6 linked regions of the Oryzias latipes genome follow. The protein of the gene in region 5 interacts with the protein of the main gene of each other region in a biochemical or structural test. Links are inferred from orthologs where the notes say so. Each region holds a gene or a part of one and is shown on either strand. Other genes may lie near its edges.

What was found.
Region 1: the proteins of nr0b2 (region 5) and esr1 form a complex in vitro, tested with the Homo sapiens proteins (2 studies listed by BioGRID). The link is inferred for Oryzias latipes from reciprocal best matches to the Homo sapiens genes NR0B2 and ESR1.
Region 2: the proteins of nr0b2 (region 5) and probable global transcription activator SNF2L2 form a complex in vitro, tested with the Homo sapiens proteins (2 studies listed by BioGRID). The link is inferred for Oryzias latipes from reciprocal best matches to the Homo sapiens genes NR0B2 and SMARCA2.
Region 3: the proteins of nr0b2 (region 5) and hdac3 form a complex in vitro, tested with the Homo sapiens proteins (2 studies listed by BioGRID). The link is inferred for Oryzias latipes from reciprocal best matches to the Homo sapiens genes NR0B2 and HDAC3.
Region 4: the proteins of nr0b2 (region 5) and pparg form a complex in vitro, tested with the Homo sapiens proteins (2 studies listed by BioGRID, with this or other methods). The link is inferred for Oryzias latipes from reciprocal best matches to the Homo sapiens genes NR0B2 and PPARG.
Region 6: the proteins of nr0b2 (region 5) and estrogen-related receptor gamma type 1 form a complex in vitro, tested with the Homo sapiens proteins (2 studies listed by BioGRID). The link is inferred for Oryzias latipes from reciprocal best matches to the Homo sapiens genes NR0B2 and ESRRG.

What each region holds. Positions count from the first base shown.
Region 1 is NC_019882.2:8,941,038-8,945,555, forward strand, and holds the start of esr1 (estrogen receptor), read left to right. Parts: upstream 1-1,418; 5' UTR 1,419-1,522; coding exon 1,523-1,533; intron 1,534-2,163; coding exon 2,164-2,583; intron 2,584-3,211; coding exon 3,212-3,426; intron 3,427-3,859; coding exon 3,860-3,976; intron 3,977-4,310; coding exon 4,311-4,501; intron 4,502-4,518.
Region 2 is NC_019867.2:1,047,286-1,051,208, forward strand, and holds part of probable global transcription activator SNF2L2, read right to left. Parts: intron 2,770-3,923; coding exon 2,596-2,769; intron 2,511-2,595; coding exon 2,337-2,510; intron 2,013-2,336; coding exon 1,842-2,012; intron 1,531-1,841; coding exon 1,480-1,530; intron 1,237-1,479; coding exon 1,106-1,236; intron 1-1,105. UniProt on the Homo sapiens protein: ATPase involved in transcriptional activation and repression of select genes by chromatin remodeling (alteration of DNA-nucleosome topology).
Region 3 is NC_019868.2:25,317,334-25,320,170, forward strand, and holds the end of hdac3 (histone deacetylase 3), read right to left. Parts: intron 1,625-2,837; coding exon 1,545-1,624; intron 1,329-1,544; coding exon 1,171-1,328; intron 1,094-1,170; coding exon 1,024-1,093; 3' UTR 896-1,023; downstream 1-895. UniProt on the Homo sapiens protein: Histone deacetylase that catalyzes the deacetylation of lysine residues on the N-terminal part of the core histones (H2A, H2B, H3 and H4), and some other non-histone substrates.
Region 4 is NC_019863.2:9,244,523-9,249,010, forward strand, and holds the start of pparg (peroxisome proliferator-activated receptor gamma), read right to left. Parts: upstream 3,160-4,488; 5' UTR 3,091-3,159; coding exon 3,039-3,090; intron 1-3,038. UniProt on the Homo sapiens protein: Nuclear receptor that binds peroxisome proliferators such as hypolipidemic drugs and fatty acids.
Region 5 is NC_019874.2:9,914,969-9,918,719, reverse strand, and holds nr0b2 (nuclear receptor subfamily 0 group B member 2), read right to left. Parts: upstream 2,453-3,751; 5' UTR 2,451-2,452; coding exon 1,850-2,450; intron 1,769-1,849; coding exon 1,527-1,768; 3' UTR 880-1,526; downstream 1-879. UniProt on the Homo sapiens protein: Transcriptional regulator that acts as a negative regulator of receptor-dependent signaling pathways. Specifically inhibits transactivation of the nuclear receptor with which it interacts.
Region 6 is NC_019861.2:25,270,813-25,274,735, forward strand, and holds part of estrogen-related receptor gamma type 1, read right to left. Parts: intron 2,761-3,923; coding exon 2,650-2,760; intron 576-2,649; coding exon 393-575; intron 1-392. UniProt on the Homo sapiens protein: Orphan receptor that acts as a transcription activator in the absence of bound ligand. Binds specifically to an estrogen response element and activates reporter genes controlled by estrogen response elements.

The sequences.
Region 1 (4,518 bases), on a different chromosome or scaffold from region 5:
AATTTCGTTTTCCTTGATTAGATTTTAAATTTTGGAAGCGGGCCGCTCCACGGAAACTAGAGATTAAAAGTTGGCAAAGAAGAACTGAAAACATGGCAGCATTATCTAGAATGGCGAAAAACATTCCAAATATTTACACAAGTCTGATCACTTGCAGTAAAGTGAATCTAAAGACTTCAGTAATGCCAAATGCTCAAACAGGAGCTCCGATTTGATCAATAAAAGAAAAGTTTCTGAAGTTTTTTAAACCCATATTCCGATTTTATCTTGCTGCTGGATTTTTTTTATTATGAAGGCAGATTTGCCTGAAAGTTTGATTTCAAAGTAAAGATCAGAGGAAGGTTTGGGTGTTGATTTTTAATCTGAATGGTTTGGATTAAAGCTTTAAATCTCCCTGGCCAAAATCTGGAGTCCATCCTGACGCCTGTCTGCGCTCAAATAAAACACACACTTGTAATAAACCTGAACAGATGAAAAAGGTAATAAATAGATGAAACTAAGAGTGGGGCATCTTGTCTTTATTTTTCTGCTCTCGCATGTTGACCTGTTGCATTCAGGTCAGGTCGGACTTTAAAAACCTGTAAACGAAACAGTTGGAAATGCTGCAACATGTGCATTACAATTCTGAATGAACGAGGGGTATAATTGTCGTACTTTGTGAAGGTGGTCCGTCACGAAAATGAGGTCAATTATTCTAAGAGGCGTGCTAAAGCCATTTTTGGTGATTTGCTGGATACGTTTGCTTCCCAACCAGTCATTTTTTGCTGTTTCCTGGTGTTGCTGTCATCAATTTTATTCTAGGAAAAATGCAAAATGATCCATATCATCATCAAGACTACTTGTTTCCCACTTGACCCCAACATGTCTTGAAAATTGGGCTGTTTGTTCAAGAAAGAGTCCGGACAGGAACGAGGAGGAGGGCTTTTGTTCCCCCCTTCAGCAGTCGAGCATGCTCATGTTTATTCTAACATATAAGAAGATCATATCTTGATAAAATCAGCTTTATTTTAGCCCCCCCCCCCATTTTTATGTTAATATTATTCAAATCTAATTTTCCTGGAAGAATTTCAAGTCCATTTTTCTTTCCTAGTAATTCAAGTACACACAAAAAAAACTTTAAAGTGTAAATACTATTTTTTTCCAGAAATCTATGGCATCAGCAATTTGGCTTTAGTGGAAATGTTTTGCCACTTCCCCTTTGACCAAACCTTTTTTTTTGTGTTTATTATCTTTTTTTCCTCTTTTTCTGCATTTAAAATCCCCATTAATTTCCTTATTTGGAATTGATTGTGTAATTGTTGGCTGTCAGATTGAGATTTGACCCCCTGCTTTGTTTGCTGTGTTATGGTGACCTGGCACTTAAACACACCATGGTTATTGATTTGGCTGCATCTTTAATTTGTTTATCCTTTTTCAAACCTTTCCACTGGTTCCACCGAAGCTGCCCGTCTCGCTGCTAGATGCCTGTCAGGCAGGCAGAGAGGAAGCAGCCCGTGTTGCGCAGCACATCTGAGGATGATTCATGAGTAAGAGGTGAGTGGTGTCTCATGCTTGATTTTGCAGTTCTTCTTTTCTTTTTTTTCTTTTTTAAGCCTTTTTGTTTCAAAGCATCCCTGCTTTTATTTACCCAGTAATTAGGTTGAGTGCAGTCTTGGTTGTGTTTTGGCCATCTCACCACTAACGCCGCATCCTCTGCTAATAAAAGCTGATTATTCAGAGTCGCTCTGTTGGTTTGTAGTTTCTGGAAACCACACGACAGCCGGGGAAAGCTTTGCTTTAGACAAACGAGGTGGAAGGAGACAGGGAAGTTTAGGAATAACTATTCCCTGACATTCCTTTCTTTTCCTCTCTCTCCCACTTGTGACTCCCACACTTGAGTGTAAACATATTGGAGGAAATACTGAGAGACAAAACCAGCAGATTGGGAGGAGTCCTTTTCGTTATTTTTGGTGAGCTGAAGCTTTAGGGAGACGAGGAAAAAGGATCTTCTGGTCCCTCCAAGTAGTCTGACAGGCATTAATAGAAAGATGAGCCCCACACAGAGAGAAAGGGAAGACTAAAAAGAGAGAGGGAGAGGAGAACTCCACTCCCCCTCCCAGCAAATGGGAGAACAAGTCTAAATCATGCTTCTTATCGCCGCTGTTGTGCTGTGATGTTGCTCAGACAGAGCTCGGTGCAGATCAGGCAGCTGTTCGGACCAGCACTCAGATCCAGGATCAGCCCAGCCTCCTCAGAGCTGGAGACCCTCTCCCCACCTCGCCTCTCGCCCCGTGACCCCCTCGGTGACATGTACCCTGAAGAGAGCCGGGGTTCTGGAGGGGTGGCTGCTGTGGACTTTTTGGAAGGGACGTACGACTATGCCGCCCCCAACCCTGCCACGACTCCCCTTTACAGCCAGTCCAGCACCGGCTACTACTCTGCTCCCCTGGAAACAAACGGACCCCCCTCAGAAGGCAGTCTGCAGTCCCTGGGCAGTGGGCCGACGAGCCCTCTGGTGTTTGTGCCCTCCAGCCCCAGACTCAGTCCCTTTATGCATCCACCCAGCCACCACTATCTGGAAACCACTTCCACGCCCGTTTACAGGTAAGTGAGGGCAGTTTAGCTCCGAATGAGTCATGAAAGTGGACAAATGAGGGGGAGAGGTCTGTGTTTCAGCCTCTGCTGATTCATCCAACTGTTTGTTTAGGCAGACTGAGTTAAAAGGAAGTACTGAATTCCAAAAAATGATTATTATTTTGCTTTGTTTAATTACAAAAATCAAGGAGTTTGGGTGTTTTTCACCCACTGTCACACATGAGGAGCAGCCTTGGCGGAAAACTAGATATTTTACAATTTATGGCAATGACATTTAAAGTTGAGTCTTCCAAGTGCTTTTATAAACAAAACATTATTACATAATGACACAACCTTTTAATCTTCCACTTTATACAAAACACACAACTTTATCTTTTCGTAAAGGATCAAGCTTGGTCCTGCTTTCTAAATCCAGAGATTAAGGACTTTGTCAGAGACCTTGAGAGAGGAACAATACGTAAGAACAACAGAGGCTCACATGAATTTTGTTTTTCTGGTTCCGGTGGAAAACACAAGTCTGTTTTTGCACTTTCATATTTTTAGTCAGAATGTTCTTGATCATCTTTTGGCAAATTCTGTCCTTTATTAGCACCACAGAACCAGAAATGGTCAGATTAAGATTCACAACCTGTTGCAGATCCAGCCACCAGGGAGCCTCCAGGGAGGACCAGTGCGGCTCCCGGGAGGACACGTGCAGCCTGGGGGAGTTAGGCGCCGGAGCCGGGGCTGGGGGGTTTGAGATGGCCAAAGACACGCGTTTCTGCGCCGTGTGCAGCGACTACGCCTCTGGGTACCACTATGGGGTGTGGTCTTGTGAGGGCTGCAAGGCCTTCTTCAAGAGGAGCATCCAGGGTAGGAAGCCACACTAAAAAGTCTTCTGGATTTAGAAAACTGTCAAAAATGTCAAATCAGTCTGATCTGAAAAATTCTCAATTATACTTTGATAATCATCATAAATTGTGATATCGTAGAAATGACTAGTCTTAAATCAAAAGAATTGATGAGCGCACATTTAAGCCTTTGTGGTTAGTTTTTGGATCACAACAGTTGAAGAGAAAAGCTCCATCTGCTTGATGGTTCAGTCATGTTCACGATATAATTGTGTAATGAAGGATCAGTCAGAAGGTTACAAAATGTTTCCATGGCAATAGAAAAGCTAAGATGCCACATTTTCATCTTCTCCTCCCCAGATTCTTTTATCAGTGTTCCTGGCTACTAAATAACCTAAATCTAAACTGAACATTGGACTTGAAGGCTGAAAGTAATATATTTTTCTCCATTTCAGGTCACAATGACTATATGTGCCCAGCGACCAATCAGTGCACTATTGACAGAAATCGGAGGAAGAGCTGCCAGGCTTGTCGTCTTAGGAAGTGTTACGAAGTGGGAATGATGAAAGGCGGTGAGCACTAACTTCACCTGACAAGAGATTTTCCCGCCTCAGCTTTTTTGTTCCCATCATTTACCATTTTCTACATGAAAGCGGCCCTCAATATTTGTTTTTCTGCAACGCACACTCCGCAAGGGTGCAGATAAACTTGAACTTTAGCACGTCCCTGAAGATATTTACATCTCAGAAGTACAACTAATTATTACACATCCTGTTTGTTTTGGTGCCTCTCAGATAAGGGCATCTAAGTGTGCGGATGAAAATGCATGGATTTGTGTCTGGCTTGGTTTGTTTACATCTGCCAGGGCGTCAGTGTTGTTTTTATGAAGCTTGATGTGTCCTTAAGGTGTGCGCAAGGACCGCATTCGCATTTTACGGCGTGACAAACGGCGGACAGGCGTTGGTGATGGAGACAAGGTTGTAAAGGGTCAGGAGCATAAAACGGTGCATTATGATGGAAGGAAACGCAGCAGCACAGGAGGAGGAGGAGGAGGAGGAGGAGGAAGACTGTCTGTGACCAGCATACCTCCTGAGCAGGTACTGATTTGTAAGGA
Region 2 (3,923 bases), on a different chromosome or scaffold from region 5:
CAAATTCACTATCTGGGTTTTTGAGTCTAAAACTGTTTTCAACATTTGTTTTATTTTTTTATTTATATTCTGGCTTTTCATTCACCAGTTTCGCCATCTGGAACCACCAAAAAATGGAGACGTCTCATTGGCTGAGCTTTGCACCCCGTCTTTCATTAAAGGCAGATTTTTGTTATGACTCGTATCTTCATCATTTCACTGATGTCTAACAGAAAATGATGTTTTAATCTCCTGTTTTAGTTCATGTGGAGCTCATTTTAGTGTCGTTGTGACTCTAAAAGGAGATTGTTCTAAACATTATTTTAAGTCTTTGTCAGTTTTTTCTCTGTAGATGAAGAAAAAGTTTGTTTTAAAGAAGCATTTAAGCTTTGTGACCGGAACTACTTTTTTAGGTGATATCACTGTGGATTATCATTTTTTAATGCAAACACAGCAGCCAATCAGAATCGAGAATTTATCCAGACGATGGTATAAGACAAAGAGCTTCAGGTCAAAAGTAAGATCAAATGCAGGAAAATGGCGTTCCCTTTGCTTTATAACGGTTCACCTTTTGCAGTCTCGTGGATTTTTTTTTTTTACAGTTTTTACATGTTTTTTTTTACAGTGCAGTGTTTCCATTGGCTAGTGTTAATTAGTCTCCTGTACAGACTTTTTCACTTTTCCAAATCTACATAAATCTTCAATTTTGATCAGATCTCTGTTTTCATTCTAATACCGGCCGTTTGACAGTTTAAACAAGAGAGAAAAGTATGAAAATGTTCATGTCTGTCTGAAAAAAGTGTAATGATAAGTTCAACAGCCTTAAAACATCTAGAATTATTGTAAAAATAAAAACGAATCCATCCGACGGTGGGTTATGTATAGAATGTAACTCCCACGATAAACGAGGGAACACTGAACCGTGAAGGTTTCCTATCCAGGAGAAATCCTGCGGCTGACAGATTCAAACTGTGCGAGTGCGGTTAAACAAAGACAAAATGTTTTTCCTTTGACTGAAGGAGCCGTGTTTTTAACAGAAACCCGCCAGCAGAACCCCCCTGAATCTTCTCTGCAGGGGGCGGGTGGGATTTTGGATCATTACAGCTGCAGTGGTGGAGCGTCTCACCCAGGGTTCATCTCCAGCCAAGCCTCCAGCTGGCTGGACTTGGGGGCGTCGGTTCCCTGTAGGACCTTCCCGGTCTCGGTCTGAATCACTTTGACAGGAAGCTCGCTCATTTGGCTGCTCTCATCAATGGGCTGCAAGACAAGAAAAGGAGGTAAAAAAGAGGAGCCTTCATCTCCAAAGCCCTCCTCCTCCTCTGGTTTTCCCCAACCCCACATTTTAACGCCTGAATCTTAGATCACAGGGAGGCACTGGTCTTCCTAAAAGGTGCCATCATGGCCTCCTCTGGGGCTGAGACGCCGTCTGGAAGGAGAAACGCTGCTTTCCTGACGCTATTTTCAACCCCCCCATGCAGAAAAGAAGCATTAGCAGCACACCTCTCCATCCAGTCCAAAGGCGCTGGTGCCTTCACCGTCTCCGTCCACCTTCTGCACAGACCACACAGACATCAGCAGTTTGATCACATCAAAGATTCACCTTTTTAAGAGCAAGCAAACAAACTTTGATTTAAAAATATGAACGACTGAAAGCTGAGCTTCATAGAAACCAGAGAGCGCGTTGGGGGTTTCCTGACAAAACTAGAGGAAATATATCCAGATGATGTTTTGCTTTTAGTACTGAAAGTCGGGGGCTCTGCTGCAACAAGCGGGGAAAGAATTCAAAGATCTGAACACCAGCAGGGCGTCCACCTGCAACAGAAACATACAGTGAGGGACCAACGTGAGCCTCTTCGTCATACCTTCTTTCTCTTCTTCTTCCTCTTCTTCTCCTTGGCAGCCTGAGCAGCCTTATGCTCGTAAACCAGAGCAGTGAGGTTGGCCACATATTCATCCGTCTGCTGCAGCAGGTAGGCCAGACGCTTGTCTTTCTTCTGATCAATCAGTTTTCTGTACCCCTCCTCATCCTCAGCCTGGAAGAGACAGCAACAGAAGGTCAGAACGGTATCAGGCTGAACCCTCATGAGAAACTCTTTTCGTAATTGTCTTCTATTCCTCTCTTCCTTGTTTGTTTCATGGCTTCTCCTCAGTGGAACAGTTACAGAGCAATAATCTTTGCTTTTCCAGCCTCATTTCCATCACAGACTGAACTTCACGCTGAATGAAAGCTTTCCACAGTGGGCGTGTCTCTTCCAACAGAACATCGCTTTGATCATGGATTCTTTCAAACAAAGATGGCCGCCATGCAAACAAGGTTTCCGTTTCTGACATGGACTGAAGTCCACATGACTCCTCACCATCAGCCTCCTCATCCTCTCCTTCTCGATCCTCTCCGTCTCCTTCTTCTGCTCCCGCTCCGTGTTAGTGTGCCACGTGGCAACGGATCTGGTGATTTTCTGGATTTTGCCGGAAACCGAGCGGTGATACTCTTTGAAGTCCTTGGCATGCTGCAGAATGCTGTTGAGGTATTCCTGAAAGAACACAAAGCGCATCATGAAGGTGACAAACCCAGGAGCTCGTGGCGGCCACGGGCCGGTGCACGCCAGCGTCGATCACCTGGTGTTTCTGCCTGCGCTTCTTCTCCTGCTCCAGCTTCTGCTGCTTCTCCAGCTTCTCCGTCATGCGGGCCTCCCTCAGAGTCTGCCGCTTGCTGCGTCGGTAAGCTTTCGAGTTGAGCGCCGTCTCCAGGGTGGTGTCCCGCCTCATGCACGCCACCACGTCCTGCCTCAGCTTCAGCAAAGCACACCTCAAGTTAAGACTGACTTCAGAATTCTGATTCTACAAGACTTCTTTACCCTGTTTCAGCATCAGCCTGTTTCATAGTTACACTGTTTCAGCGTCAGCCTGTTTCATAGTAACACTGTTTCAGTGTCAGCCTGCTTTAGCGTCAGCGTGTTTCATAGTTAGACTGTTTCAGCATCAGCCTGTTTCATAGTTACACTGTTTCAGCGTCCGCCTGTTTCATAGTAACACTGTTTCAGCGTCAGCCTGTTTCATAGTTTCACTGTTTCAGCGTCAGCCTGTTTCATAGTAACACTGTTTCAGTGTCAGCCTGCTTTAGCGTCAGCGTGTTTCATAGTTAGACTGTTTCAGCATCAGCCTGTTTCATAGTTACACTGTTTCAGCGTCCGCCTGTTTCATAGTAACACTGTTTCAGCGTCAGCCTGTTTTATAGTAACACTGTTTCAGCATCAGCCTGTTTCATAGTTAAACTGTTTCAGCGTCAGCCTGTTTCATAGTAACATTGTTTCAGCGTAAGCCTGTTTCATAGTTACACTGTTTCGGCGTCAGCTTGTTTCATTGTTACACTGTTTCAGTGTCAGCCTGTTTCATAGTAACACTGTTTCAGCGTCATCCTGTTTCATTGTTACACTGTTTCAGCGTCAGCCTGTTTAATAGTTAGACTGATTCAGCATCAGCCTGTTTCATAGTTACACTGTTTCGGCGTCAGCTTGTTTCATTGTTACACTGTTTCAGTGTCAGCCTGTTTCATAGTTACACTCTTTCAGCGTCAGCCTGTTTCATAGTAACACTGTTTCAGCGTCAGCCTGTTTCATTGTTACACTGTTTCAGCGTCAGCCTGTTTCATATTTAAACTGATTCAGCATCAGCCGGTTTCATAGTTACACTGTTTCAGCGTCAGCCTGTTTCATAGTTTCACTGTTTCAGCGTCAGACTGTTTCATAGCTAAACTGTTTCAGCGTCAGCCTGTTTCATAGTAACACTGTTTCAGCGTCAGCCAGTTTCATAGTTTCACTGTTTCAGCGTCAGCCTGTTTCATAGTTACACTGATTCAGCGTCAGCCTGTTTCATTTTTACACTGTTTCAGCGTCAGCCTGTTTAATAGTTAGACTGTTTCAGCATCAGCCTGTTTCATAGTTTCA
Region 3 (2,837 bases), on a different chromosome or scaffold from region 5:
TTTGCTTAACAGGAGGGAGGATAAAAACCCGGAGAACCTGAGACGCTGCTTGCTTGAAACTTGATGGAAACTTTTCTAAACTGAGCATCTCTGAAGGGTTCAGTCCTGCTGCAGTTTGGCGTTAGGCCAGATGGTGGCGCACTTTTGAATGTGATCAAGCTCCATTTGAACAAATGGAGAAACTTGTGTTTTTGTCCCCGACAGAGCAAACAAATTTTGTGTTTCCACCCCGACTTTTCTGCACTTATCTGCCCCCTTCACCCGCTTTCATCCTCATTTGTGTGAAGAAACCTGTCTGAAGGTCAAAGTGCTACGCCTGAACGGTGCTTTTTTATGTCAACGAGATGGAAGTCATTTTAACTGGATTTAAATATGATATGGAAAGCTTAAATATCATCACAACCAGCATCTTTACTGTGACGGATTCCTGCAGCTGAACTGTTCTTTCCTTCACCTGTGATGAAAGCGTTCAGCTCAGCGGTCTTTGTGCTTAAAGCACAAATAAAGTAGATTTTTAGAAGTTGTGTTTGTTGTGTTAAAAGTTCTATCTAATCACTGGATGATTGTGGAATAAAGTCTATGACACGTGAGATCTGAGTCCTGCTGTCATTTGATGTCGCCCTCTGGTGGATGAGGAGCAGAGCTGCAGTTTATCCCTCGTGCTATCCTAGGCACTTTAACATTGGGAGTTGGGTCATCTAGACCCACTAGACAGTGCGCTGAACCTTTTTTCTTCAATGATTTGTGATCTTCACTGGTGTCCATGGATTACATGAAATCTTTCCACCTTTATCCACCTTTGTCATGGTAGGGAGAACACGTCAATGTAAGGGTGGGGTCATCTAAGATAACACAAGGGTTATGAGTTTGGAATAAATGAGCATCAGTCCAGAAATAAAAGCTAAAAACATTTATTTAAAAAAAAACAAAACACAAAAACCACATTGAAAAAAACCAGATGAACAAAGTGTTTTCCAAATCCTTAACTGTCCACAACGATCGTCTCTCAGAAATCCTCCAGCCTTAAATTTCAACGTCGCTCTCTTTGTCGTTGTCATGGTCGCCGTCGTAGAATTCATTCGCTGCCTCTTGTCTGAAAGTGCATCGATAAACATTTATGACTCAATCCTGCAGGTGAAACAGGAAGGCCTTTTTTGTCTTCCTACTGACCGGGTGTAGTTCTCCTCAGCTCCCCTCTCGTCTGGGTCGGGGTCGTCTGTGCGTTCGTAGCTCAGCATGTCTGACGGGACGTCGTGGATCTGGACGCTGGGCGCGTGGTTCAACATCTTCAGGTTTTCAAACACGGTCTGACGGATCTGTTCCAGATACTGCACCGACGTTCACGGGTTATTTCAACGGATCCACGTGTGTTAAAGGAAAACTCATTCCCTCCAAAAGATTAAGCTACTGAAACAGGTTGGAATGTCTTTCATTTTTAGGAAGATGATGGCTTTTTCTGGTCTGGATGGTTCAAACTGTTCTACACATGCACACACCTGATTCAGCAGTTCCTAAAATGGCACCTGAGGAAGGGGCGGAGTTACCTGTCTGGAGTTCTGGTTTTCGATCCTGGTGCTGACATCAGGATGCAGCGTGAAGTCTGGGGCAAAGTACTCGAAATATTCTGCCGACATCAGGAGAAAAAGGTTCTCTGGTTACAGGATACAGAAACAGATTTAAACTCTCCTGTACTATTTACTGATCTATCTTTATGTCGGCGTCAAAAAGAAGCTGTTATACTGTTGGCCTAAATAACCTCAGAGACTGTCTGCAAAAAATGTGACATAAAAATGGTCTACTTTGTCTCAATAAAAACAACACTCATCTACTCTGTCATCCACATTTCAATCTGACCAACCTGAAGGCAAAAAGATCACAAAAAGATGAAAATGACATTTTTATCAGCAGTTATTCTTGTCAGAAGCAGAATTTAAGGAATCTGGAGGTGCAGCGATTCTGTTTATTACAGAAAAATCAAACTAGACGACCTGTAGAGCAGATCTATAGAAATACCTGCACTGAACATCCATATGACCACTGTAGGACACGCAACATGGATCTAATCTACTATTTTACTTATCAGTAGTGACCAGTGGGACTAAACTTTGACCACAAATCTAACCTGAAGATCCAAGGATTTTCCAACATGCAGGGGTTGACATAGCCCAGAAATTTGCACTGGCCCAGAGGGCCAGTAGCTTTTGAAACTTACTGGCCCTGACTGAGAGTTACTGGCCCGACATCGTGCACAGCGGGACCCGCCGCTCCGCAGGTGCTTGCAACTTAAGGGGGGTCCGGGGGCATGCCCCCCCGGAAAATTTTAATATGGTGCATTCTGGTGACATCTAGCACTTATTTATACACTTTTTCAATGACTAAAAATAGAGCATATCAAACTTAAATCTGCTCTAGTCTGTTTCAGATGTTTTGAAGAGAGCGCTGCAGTGTAGTAAGTAACACTAGTTCAGAAGTTTTCATGCTGCTTCTAATCACTGCTATTTCACATTTGTTCCTAATCAATAGTTAAGAAGTTTTATTTACTTTTTTGCTCTGACTGCCTTGAGGTTTTGCTTTTTGTTACTGTTGCAAAGTTACATTTACTTTTTAGTTACTTTAGTTACTTAATTAAATTAAATAATTGAAAAATTCAATAAAATTAAATTACTGAGATCATTCAGCTAACTAGAAATACTTACTGCTTACAGTGTTGTAAAGAAAAACAAAATTGAGTACTTTGAAGTTATACTGCATTTGAGTCTGAGATTCAGGTATTTGGAGTCTTTGCTTTTGATTCTTTGACATTCAGCTTAAAGCTTAGTGGATACAGTTTCATCTTC
Region 4 (4,488 bases), on a different chromosome or scaffold from region 5:
CTCTTTTAAATTCTACTTTTATCAAAAGTAAGTTACAATTTCTTAAAAAGATTGAGATGATCATTTAGTTGAACTTTTATTTTGAACTAACTTAAGGTTTTTTAAAGCAAGCATATTTGTTTCTGTGTCCCAAGGAGTCAGGGCAAAACTATTTTTCAACTTTATTCACTAATTTGATTCATAAAACGCTGTATAAATTTCATGTTCAGTTCAATTTAGTTTGATCAATTCAACCAAGAACATCCCTATTTACCAAAGTGTTTCCAACTTAATCAGACGTTTTCTGTTAGATAGCTCAGCTTTAATTAATGAGTCAAACAGGACAAGGATTATCAACCAAAAAAATAATTTAAAAAAAAAGTCAAAAACAGAATCACGGAAAAAAAAGAAAGCACCTCGGTGATGAAAATGCCCAGGCTATATCCAAATCGCAAAGTCTTGAAATGGTACGGTGTAACTCAGACAGAGCTGTGCTGTCAACAAATGCATGCAAACCTCAGTGAAACAACAAAGCATTGCTGCAGAAAAGTGTGAACCAACACTCCATAACACGCAAAGGAAACTGTTACACACATTTCAATAAAAAATGACTGGCTGTCACTACTAAAATGTTTTTAGGTTTTTCTAGCAAAAACTTTTTATCTCTGAAACGGACTCCGTTTGTTTTGTATTTCAGGCCAAAACCCCAAGAACTAATAAGACAATAATTAAACTGCAATGCTACAATTTAAGCACTGCGTTCTTCAAAAATGTGTTTGTATAACTTAACTATTATGCTAATACAATATCTAATATCTGTAAATCTATTCTGCTAATATTTATTATTCCGATATTGTAAACATATTTACTTGCCATAACTGTACAACAATGTCAGCATTTCGAAACAAATTTGGTCCAAGTGTAAACTGTGTTTACACCTCTTGTTAGAATGCATTTTTCCCACCAGATGTCAATTTAATGCAAAAAGTGCAAGAGAACATTTCTTTGATGTTGCTTTCATTGTGACTCACCTCACATGACAAGTGTTGTGTGATCAAAGAAACAATGTTGATAGACACGTAGGACTATACAGGGTTTACGCTATAGCAACGGTAATATGAGATATCATACTTTAGGCGTGTTTATATTAATTTGTTCGTGGAAGTTGAATTTTTTGTGTTGCATTTCTTTGCGGTTATTAAAATAAAATATTCTTCAAACTGAATCTTAAACTTAAGATGTTAACGTCTGATTATTATGTCAAATATCAACAAAGATTGACTTAAATTTAAGTGGAAATTCTTAGTACCAAAATTATAAAACCTGTTTTAATCCCTTTATACTTAAACTTTAACAGTGAAAACACCAAACATCCATATTTTCCCATTGAAAAGCTGTTTTGAAACACAACTAGTAACAAAAATGTTTTCTCTGTCTGTTTGTGTCTACAGCTTTGATTAATGTCAATGTCTGTGCAAGTCTACTGCCAAAATTTTGCTGTATGTTGACAGTATATGACGAAATGTTTGGACACGAAGTTAATAATTACACCCAATTTAGAGAGAGAAAAAACACGACCTGAAGGCTAAACTTTAAAGGGCTGCGTTTTCTGATAAAACAAAATCAAAGGTTTCTTTAAAAAAAATGCTCTGAATACAAGAATCTCTGAAATCTGGTGAACAAAAGGTGGTTAATTGTTTGTGGGTCAATCTAAAGTGTGCCTTTCTCTTTTATTGAAATGTTTATGTAGAAACAAATGACCTTTTCTTCATTTGAGCTTTTTCTGTAAAGCTTTTTCACACTTTTTCTTCTTAAGAAAACCAAAGCAAAAGCAGAAAACATCTGTGGAAAATTCAAACCAACACAAAGTAAGTATTTTTCAGTAAGAATATTTGTAAAAAGCTAACCCTAACCTTCAACCAAGATAAAATTTAGTCAGCATGTATGTCTTTTAGTAACAGTAAAATGTCTTTGAGAGCACATGAAGGACAAAAATATAATCCAGAACAGTATCTTGAGGCACTCCTTCCATTTACGGTCCAGAGTAAAGTCCAGCTCTTTCTCAGTCATTCACACACACATCTAAACACACTTCACTTTAGGAATTACATAACTTGATAAGTAAATAATTCAATGATGGATGAAAGGATCAACACACTCAGATTCACAGAGACACTCAAAGGTGTCGCTGCAGAGATTTTGAACCGATCTAGTTGCGACGGATCAATTACCAAAGTCCATTTGGAGATGAAATGATCTGAAACTCTGCAGTTGAAGTAATTTGATAAATAAGTAAATAAAGTACAAACATTAAACGGTGACATAACATTAATCTGGTCCATTATGTTGTCATTTCTATTTCTCCACCAAAGATCCATTCATCATGTCAATGTCGACCGCCATCTTTTTCTCACAGAGAGCTAACAGGTTGTGTTTCCTCGGAGTTTATCGACTGCAACAAGAAGGCTGTGTTATAGTATTAGGAGACAATATTTGCTGATGACTGCCACTGACACAAACAAGTACATCACGTTATTTAGGATTTTAAATAAATCCAGATAATAGCAACGTTATTAACTATCAGAAACTCTGAAAATAGTCAAATTGTCTTCACAAAAAACAAAAGTTACAGTTCCAGTGTAGGAAAACAATACTTTCTATTTGCTAAAAGACGTTGAAAATATTTGATCATTTGGATACGATGCGACGAAAAACCCATCTTTGCTCATAACACAAAAAAATGAAAAATTGATGTGTTAGAGCTAAAAAAGCTGGGACCAAAGAGCAGAAAACCCTTAAAGACAAAATCAGCATTTGTCCCTGAGTCTGTTGACCACATATGTGCTGAGTCACGGCCATTATACTCCAAAGCGTTCAAAACTACAGGACAGCTTCAAGGTTGAGTAATACGCGCTGCGTGACACAGGAGGGATGACATAGGTTTATAAACGACACATGAGGAGCCACTGTCATGCATATATGTTTATGTTGAGTGGGAAACTCTCACTGCTGATCACTGCAAAAACAAGAAGAAGAAAAAATAAAATGTCTGCACTCACCTGAGTAGCTGTGACCACTTAGATTGTTGAAATCTCTGCCTGGTGTTTGCATGTCAGACTTCCACTCACACTGTGGCCCACAGACACACTCTGGACCCACACCTTGCTTTGTGTCACTTGTCAGTCCTGTGACCGCACCCCCATCCCCGTCATCACCCCCCCCCCCCCCCAATCTGCACTGGCTTTCCCAACTTTAAAGAAAAAAGTGCCCATCATTACCTCCACCTCTGTCAGATCTCACCATGATTAGGGAATTTATTTATTTTTTAAACTTTATAATTGCTAATAATATTAAATCACGATTAGGGCTGATATTGTCAGATCTATAAAGCAGAAACAAATGATTGATAACCGCGAACAGTCTTGATGATTGATGTTTTTTTTTTAATTACACAAGCCACTGCAGTGCCACAAACAGAAGCAGCTGAACTGACCTGATCAATGCGCCGAACCTCTCCTGACGCTGTGGATCTGTTTGGCTGAGGCGGCGTCGGCACCAGGCGCACAGCAGCGCCGCGTCTGAGCTTGAGTCCGGCGGCGCTCATGCTGCCGCAGGGGGAGGCTGAGGCGGCGGTGCGCCTGCCTCCCTGCTCTCTCCCCTCCCTCCCTCCCTCCGCTCAGCACAGCCAGCCCGCCGGGAACGAGGGGAAGCAGACGAAGGCATCAGATTACTCCTAAAAACTTCAATTTACGCCATTGAAACTTTTCATTGAACCAAACTGTCCTACATCCCACACAGGTAATAGTCATTCATATACCTTTTCCCCCTTTAAAGTTACTAATATTTAGTAGTACACTTAAACAAACTACTGTTTCTAAGGGACGTCATTTGTAGCCATCTAAATATAATTTTGTTGCTTAAAATTACTTTCTTTTATAAAAATGTCTACATGCTTCCTCAAGCATTCAAATGAAACACTTATTGAAGTAATTAGTGTAGTTCACCCTTAGCAAATAGTGTACTGCAAGAATACTAAGTCTATACTGAACTGAGGCAGTACTTACAAAGTTTACTTTTCACATACTATCTTTATATTGTAAAGATAAACTGTTCCAATGTAGTGTGAAGAAATAATCCATTAGTATATTTCATACACTACACTACACATACATGGACTATAAAGTAAACTTGTATACATTATAGTATACATGCTATACTTATACTCAAGTATATTTCAGTTGTTTTACTTTTTACTAAGGTCAGTAGTGCAGCTTTGATGGGATTCAGTCCAAATGTTCCACACCCCTTTAGCAAAAGTATACACTTGAAGTGTATTCTATCAAGTATTGAGTATAAGTATAGAAAGTATACTATAGACCATGTATTTGTAGTGTAGGAAGTATACCAACAGGATCTTTCTTCTGACTAATTTGAATTTTTGATATATATATATATATATATATATATATATATATATATATATATATATATATATATATATATATATAT
Region 5 (3,751 bases):
TATTCAGACGGGTTTTTTAATAAAAGAAGTTTGATGTTTTTTAGCCTCTGACTGTGACTCACACACATAATTTAGTTGTTGCAAAGCCTTTCAATGGTTTTTTTCTGAAAAAACAAGGTCTATGTTTCATTAAAAATGATATGTCCCTCTACAAAAATGTTTTTTCAGGTTTAGTCTTTACCCTAGTGTTCCTCCTAATTGTCAGTCTCCCTGAGGTCAGTGTTGCAGCAGGCAGGCTTCTTCAGCCCTCAGCGATGAGAAGAACTTGTTGGACTGGTTCTTACAGAAAGGAAATAAAATCCTGGCATTTACTTTAGTCTTTTATTGCAAAGGAAGAAATGGTGCAGAAAACGATCTTCCGAGAACCCGTCCTAAATCTGTTTGGCCAAACAAATATTTATCAGTGAAAGTATAATGCAAAATGCTGCTACATGTATTTGCTCAGGGTCTGTTTTATAATTGCTGGAACAGAATAAACAGTTGTAGTTCAGCTTGAGAAACTACTATAAAAGGCAATCCCTCTCACACAGTCTTGAAGGGATAAGACTTCAATTAAAAAGATGGAAACGCAGGAAAAAAGTGGAGATTTTCCACCACCAGCTCTTTTTTTTTTTTTTTTTTTAAATGTTTTGTTTGTGCTGTGTTACCCCATTTCCCCTGGCTCACTGCCCCCACCATCAGCATTCCTGTTTTACCTGTATATGGTGTCAAGTAAAGAGAGACTGTTTCACAACCATCATACCACAGAATGGATGAATGTGAACAGCTTCTGTGGGGATTTTTGCATGAAGATTGTTAAGACAATACTGCTTTGTTGGCTTGGATTTACCCTTTTCTTCTCAGCGTATCATAAGATTGTAAAATAAGGTTGAAATGGGATCGAGGATCTTTCTTTTTATTTGCTTGTGGATGTGTTTTCCAATAGAGGGAGACAAAGCTTCGGAATGAACAAGAAATATTATTCTGTGACACATTCCTGTCATCATTTTTGAAAAAGAAAGAGCTCTTGTGGATAAATATCCACGTTCACCAACAAGATCCAACTGCAACTAAGAAATTTGTCAATCTGAGTTTAGCAACATCTTGACTCAATAATATGCGTTTAACAGCTGAATTTGTCAGATTAAGTGTGACAGTGGCATTGGCTTGGTGTGAGTCAAGAGCGTGAGGCTGTAATTTGTCATTTGTGTACAAAAATATATTTATTTGAAGTTTCCTGTAAAAGCAAAAGACACATATTTACAACAATGAAATAACAGAAAAGATTGACAAAATCAAATATTCTAATAGAAAGAGACAAGTCTGCCACTGTGTGAAAATCCTTCTACTTAGGGGAAGGAAATCTGTTGACACAGAGATAAAGTGACCTCAGCTTTGCGTGAATGTGAGCAATCATGGTGGCTTGTTCATCAAATCTACATTTTTTTTGTGGGGTTTTATAATCTGCTTCACAGCAGCCGTCCAACATTCCTTTCCCAGCCTGGGTGTCATGTGGTTTAAAGTCCCTCAGCTGAGGTCCACTGTTCTTATCTGTAAAAGAGCATGTCGACCAGCAGCTCCAGCAGGTCAGCCTGGCCTATGACGGGCCGGAAGAAGAGCTCGGTGACGAGGGTGGGTGTGATGCCCTGCAGCATGGAAGCTGTGAGCAGGATTCGAGCGAAGCGCTCCTCGCGACCCGGGTGAAGGAGCTGCACCACCTCCCTCAGGGCGTGCTGAGCTTCCTGCTGCAAGCCCTCCACAAACAATCCAGCCTTTAATTCCGGAACGTCTGTGGACGAGGAAAACGAGTAAAGTCAGTTAACGCACACACACATACTTCATCCTTTTACTGAATCCAGCACCTTCGTACCTGGATTGAATATCGTGGTTCCCTTCAGGTATGCATACTCCTTTGGGCTTAAATCCAAACTCCAAAACTTTTTGAGGCAAGACTTGAGTTTGCTGACGCCTGCCATGGTGGGCTGCTCCCTTTTAGCCTCGGGGCTCTCCTGGCGGTTCAGAAGAATCTTTTTCAGCATGCTGTCAGCGGGGGCATCTGTAACCTCAAAGTCCACATGTTCTTGAGCCAGCCCCAGAATAAAGAGGGGAGCCCAGCAGCTTCTCAACAGCGCAAACTGATCACTCAGTGGCAGCTGGTTGAACGCAGGCAGGCTCTTAATGAAGTGGACGGTTTTAACCAGAACTGCTGAGGCTTCTTTGCAGATCTCACTTGGACTTTTTAAGCACAGTGTCCGGCGCACCTCGCAGTTGCACCTGTGAGGCACTGAGATGTAGTTGAGGCAGTCTTGGCTCTGCATGCTGCTGTCCATTTGGCTCAGGATGTTGTAGAGGATGGGATTCAAAACCCTATCATTGTTGGTTAAGCAATGGCATCTGCTATCCATCTTTTTCCCCCCGATGACATATAATGGTGATGAATGCGTGCGTCCTCTCACAGATAGACTCCTCATGAGCTCCTGAGTGGTGCTGCTGCCTCTTCTATATTTATAGGGCCAACCCCCCTCCGTTCAGTGGACCTTGAAATGTCAATACACTCGATGTGAAAAACAACCGCTCGCTTTGCCAGGTGACTGCTGGAACAACCCTGGGAAACTGATAAGATTTTCTCAATGAAAGTAGCTGCTGGAGTAACACATATCAAAAAGGATGGGCCTTATCTGCCAGCAAGTGTCATTAACCCAGGCTGTACCAAGCTACCAAGGACTGCAGTGGTAATCCAACCCACACTGTGTCACTACACCTGCCAGATCACACCTGTGAAACTGGAACAAGGCCAGGGCACAAAGAGGGCATTGACCCCTGACTTAAATCCTCAAAAGTACAGTGTCATTTCAGTCAGTGGTAAAACTAGACAATATGGGAGAAAATTTTGAGAAAATTCTACGTATTGGCTTTTAAACTAAAAGAGAAATAAAAAAGAAGCTACTCTAAACTATTTTTAAGGGGCCTTCATCATGCTTTTATTGAGCCTTCCAGAGTGAACTATATCCATATATGTGATATATATTCTTTTGGCCCTAAAGAACGTTTTTATTATGAAATATGAGTTATTTTCACAATTCATTTCATACCCGGAAGTAGAATGACTCGATCTCTGAGGCACCGGCTTTCTCTCCTGGTGGGTCCGCCCGTTTCATGATGTCAACTTAGAGTCAGCCACAGCAGCGTGTCTGCGTTTTTCCCTCGAAAACAAACAATATCCGAACTTTTGCAAAGATGAATGTGCATAGAAACAGAATAAGCTAGAGAAAGTGGATGTGTGTTACCCTGGGGTTGGGGCTGCAGCGCAGACTCTGGAAGGGGCTGTTCCTCACTTTGAGACGTCACAATGTGAGGACCCACTCGTTGTTGTGGGTTGGGAGGGGCTGGTGCTCAGAGCACAGGTTTTTAGAGGAATGCTCAGAAATGCATGAATGGATCAAAATACCCCTTTGGGGTTGTTTACAGTGAGGAATGAAAATTACAATACACTTAAAGCTCAAAAAAGTTGATTTTGGATGATATAAGAACCCTTTGAAATTCCACAAATAAAAAGAAACAGACTGGTTAAAAATGACGAACTCTTGACATGAAATTCAACAAAATCTCAAATCACAGTTGCTTTGGGTCAATAGGTTGAATACTTGCCCAACAAACCTTGGACAAATATAGAAGTGCTGTGTCCTGTGAGTCATTTAAGGTTGTGTTTCTAAACCCGGTACTTGGGACACACTGTATTTTTTCAATCTTACCCGGCTCAAACTCAAATGCC
Region 6 (3,923 bases), on a different chromosome or scaffold from region 5:
TTTGGCATTAATACCTGATTTGGCATTCTGTCCAGGTGCTTTTTTAAATATATAAATAAATACGAAAACATTTATAACAATCCCATTTTTGGGTTTTGCCATTGTGCTAATCTCATGTGATCTTTTACATCCAGTTTAGTTCAGAATTACAGGGGAAATGGGGTTATTTAAGAGGATTAGATTTAGTTCTTCCCTTCACTGTGGAGAGAAACTGAGCTGCACAGATGTGAAAGAGTGTAAAATGTATCTATGACCCCATTGGTCTGTCACCCACCCTTTGAAGTTGATAATAAAAAGCAGCAACTTAATTTGGTTCATTCTGTAATTTTTCTAAATAAAAGCAATGTTTTCAACTTCAAGGAAAGTGGCAGAGTTGTTTTCATATCTCCTACCTGGGATGTGCTTGGCCCACCCGATGTTGACCACCAGCTCTCTGTCCGCCAGGTCACACAGCGTAGTCAGGGCCTTGATGTCGCTGTCTGGTACTGTTGGGTCAGGCATGGCATAAATCTTCTCTGGCTCAGCCACCAGCAGGTGAGAGACAATTTTGTTATCTGCAAGGCAGCCAAAGGCAACTGACATGAACACCAGACAAGGAGAAAGACAAGAGACAGAGAGATGGTGAATACGTTGCCTGTTTGAGCTACAAGCTGCACCACAAGTCTGGTGTTAACCTGTGAGTGGTCATAAACAAAACTTTGTTACACACACATTTAATGTTAGTTCTCACAGTCAAGAAACAGCACACCAAGAACAAGAAACTAGAAAAGTGTGAGAATACTGAGGAAGTATTGTTCAAGCACACATTAAACTAAGAAAGAACGATTTTTCTCCATCTTTCTTCAAAGGGTTGATTGAAGAACCTTTAAACCCACATTTAAAATTCGCACCAACATTTATTGCTGAAAGTATTTGTTTTCTCAGTGCCTGAAGATGTTAAAACGCTTCGTACAGAAGAGGACGATATGACTGAAAGCTAAACAGCTCAGCTGTTAGTGGTGACATGTGGTGATGAGACCTCTATGGCCCATTAGCAACAGACTGATATCCTGCTTCCAAATTAATCCAAAGACTAATCAAGCATGGGAATGGTTGACGGAGGATAGAAGAGCAAGAGATGAGTAAAGGGCTAAAAAGAAAGAGGGGGAGAGATTAGCCTTGAAAAAAAAATGGAAGAAGACAGACAGGTAGAAATACAGCCATGAGCAGATTGCAAAAGACAGACAGGATGAGTCCAAAGAGCGACAGCCAGATAGAGATAAACAGCAAGAGAGAGTGAAAGAGTTGTGAGGATGAGTTCTGTATTGATCTAACACTGTCCACCACCCCCCACTTCTCTTACATCCACAAGGCTGTGTGGTATACAAATGTTCGTATGTATCCACACACACAGTTCGTTCAGCTCCAGGGTCATTTCAGCCCCATGAATCCAAGTCACACTGCAGTATCTGTGGGTAAATCTTATTTAATGTTTCCCTAATTAGAATCAATGGAAGCCCATTTCCAAACCCTGGGCTATTGTTCTGTTCGCACACAATCAATGTGGATGCTGAGGCTGGGGATTGGGCTCTGTGAGGGTGTCTGAGGGATGCAGAGGAACAGGAAAAGGTTGTGTGTATTGACTGTGTGACAAGAAAATAAGTTCACATGTGTTTATAGTTTTTTATAGTTTTTCGTTGTTGTTTCTTTGCAGACTTATTGTTAGTTATTAAAAAAAAGAAATACGGAAAATACTCACAGATCAAGTATTTAGATTTGTTGTACTTTCCTGAAACAGCAAAAACTTTGCACAGCTGGACAATCAAGTTGGGTAAATTGAAAATGATGAAGAAAATTGATCTACAGTGGAATTATTCAGTGAACAATGGTATAAGTGCAAATATTGCCCACACATTCACATTATCCCATAATTTTTAATGATTAGTAGTCGCAGTAAGCTGTTGTGTACCCATTCATGGCTTTGGCCTAAAGCAGAATATGTTCCAGCTTTAAGCAAAATGGGCTTTGGGGACCAGGCTGTTAAACGCTGCTCAATCTTCAGTGCATGTGTGCGTATGTGTTTCGTGTGCGAGCAGACGGTTAGCTAGAGAGCTAACCCTAGTTTGATGTGGTTGCCAGATTGGATTTAATCCGGATTAGGGTTGTGGCTGGTCTGCCTCTCTCCTCTCTCAGTTTGAGAAATGTCCTCGTTTAGGTTTTATTCTACACCCGTTTCTCTGTCATTTGCACATGGTCTCTTCCTCGTTAATTTTTCAATCACTAGACCCATGGCCACAGTTTTATTATTTAGAAAAGACGAAAAAAAAAACAAAATAATGAATCCAGGCAGAGCTAAATGAAAGCCTTTATGGGGAAATATTAAACACATAAAATGTTATGATTCCAAACTGGTAGCAGCAGAAACAAGGAAATAAACATAGTCCCAACAGATGGCCTTCCCAGTAACATGTCTATTTATGTGTGGCTGAGTCTGTGTGTCGGTTAAAATCCTTTTAGTGACCAACTGTCTCCAGTTGGATGGAAACTGATGCTTGTCTGGTAGTGTTAGTGTATGATCTGGGATACAATACTGGATGAGTTTGCACATCAGTCTGTGATCTATATGAGCCTATGAGCCTATGGGTGTGGTGTGTGCGTGTGTGTTCTTACATGGCTTCTTGGGAGGTAAAGCCAGCTGTGGGTTCAGGTAGGGGCTGTTGTCAGCATCTATCCGGCGTTTATATTTTTGTCTTCCACCTCGAACCCTGTCCAGCCGAACTCCTGTAAGAAATCATAGAGGGATGACGTATGAATGGAAAGACAAGTCAGCAAGCATGTTTCAAAAACTTCAGTCTTGGACTTGTTCAGAAACCAAAAAAAAAACCCCATAAAACAAGAAAACTGACCTGAAAGAACAGATCAGATGAGAAAAGTATGAATTCAACAAAAGGAAATAAAGCAGTGTTTTTTTGTTATTGACTTACTTTTATGTTAGATTCATGGTTCCTAAACTCAATCAGCTCCATTGTTTTGCAAAAGCTCTTGCAACAGCTGAGTAAGAAGACTATAACTTTGTCTCTCAGGCTTACGCTTATGCCGTCTCTTGCCCAATCTCCCCCTCTGCCTCATTAATTAATTGACATAAAGGAGTGGTAATTGAATTAGGCCAATCTCTCTAGGGATTGGATGTTACCGTGGTTACCACTTAAAGGTGGATAAGAAAGACAAAGGTGTCATGCACCTTGGATGAGGAGAAGAGAAGAGTGGAGGAGATAGGAGAGGAAAGAAAATGAGAGCATGGCTCCGGGGTACTCAAATGATTCAAACTGCTCTTCGTTCTTTTAGTATACACACCAGTGGTAGGTAGAAAGAAAAGTTTGAGAGCAAAAGGCTGAAACTGATCCTGGGGTTGGAAAAGTGACACTCAGGATGTGGCTTTCAAAATGCAGTGGCGGAGCTACAGAGTAGCATGGGGGGCAGCTGCCACCCCAGCACCCCCCTCCCCCCTACACACAGACACACACTTGACACCCCAATTTTTGAGTCAACACTGAAAAAGACCCCTTTATGCTGACAGAGGCCTTCTCACCTCAAAATGATTTAGCTCAAATGCACACAACATACCATCTGTATTCCTCCACTCCCGGTCAATTGACTTTCAATATATATCTAAGAACCTTTTTCAAACATTAGTTTCTTCTAGGAAAGACCAGAAGCGGCGCACCATCCAGTTCTTGTTTGCAATGTCCATGCTCACTATTTTTTTTCAAACAGCAAAAATCACGTCACCAAATTCACAAAGTGAAAATCTAAGGCTATGTCCGAATTCCTTCACTTCTCACTACATAGTGCACTATATAGTGCGTTCGCCATTTTGTAGTGCTGTCCGAATCTACAATTCCAAAATCGAGTGCCCTAGAAATTTCCCAGAAGTCTCTGCAAAA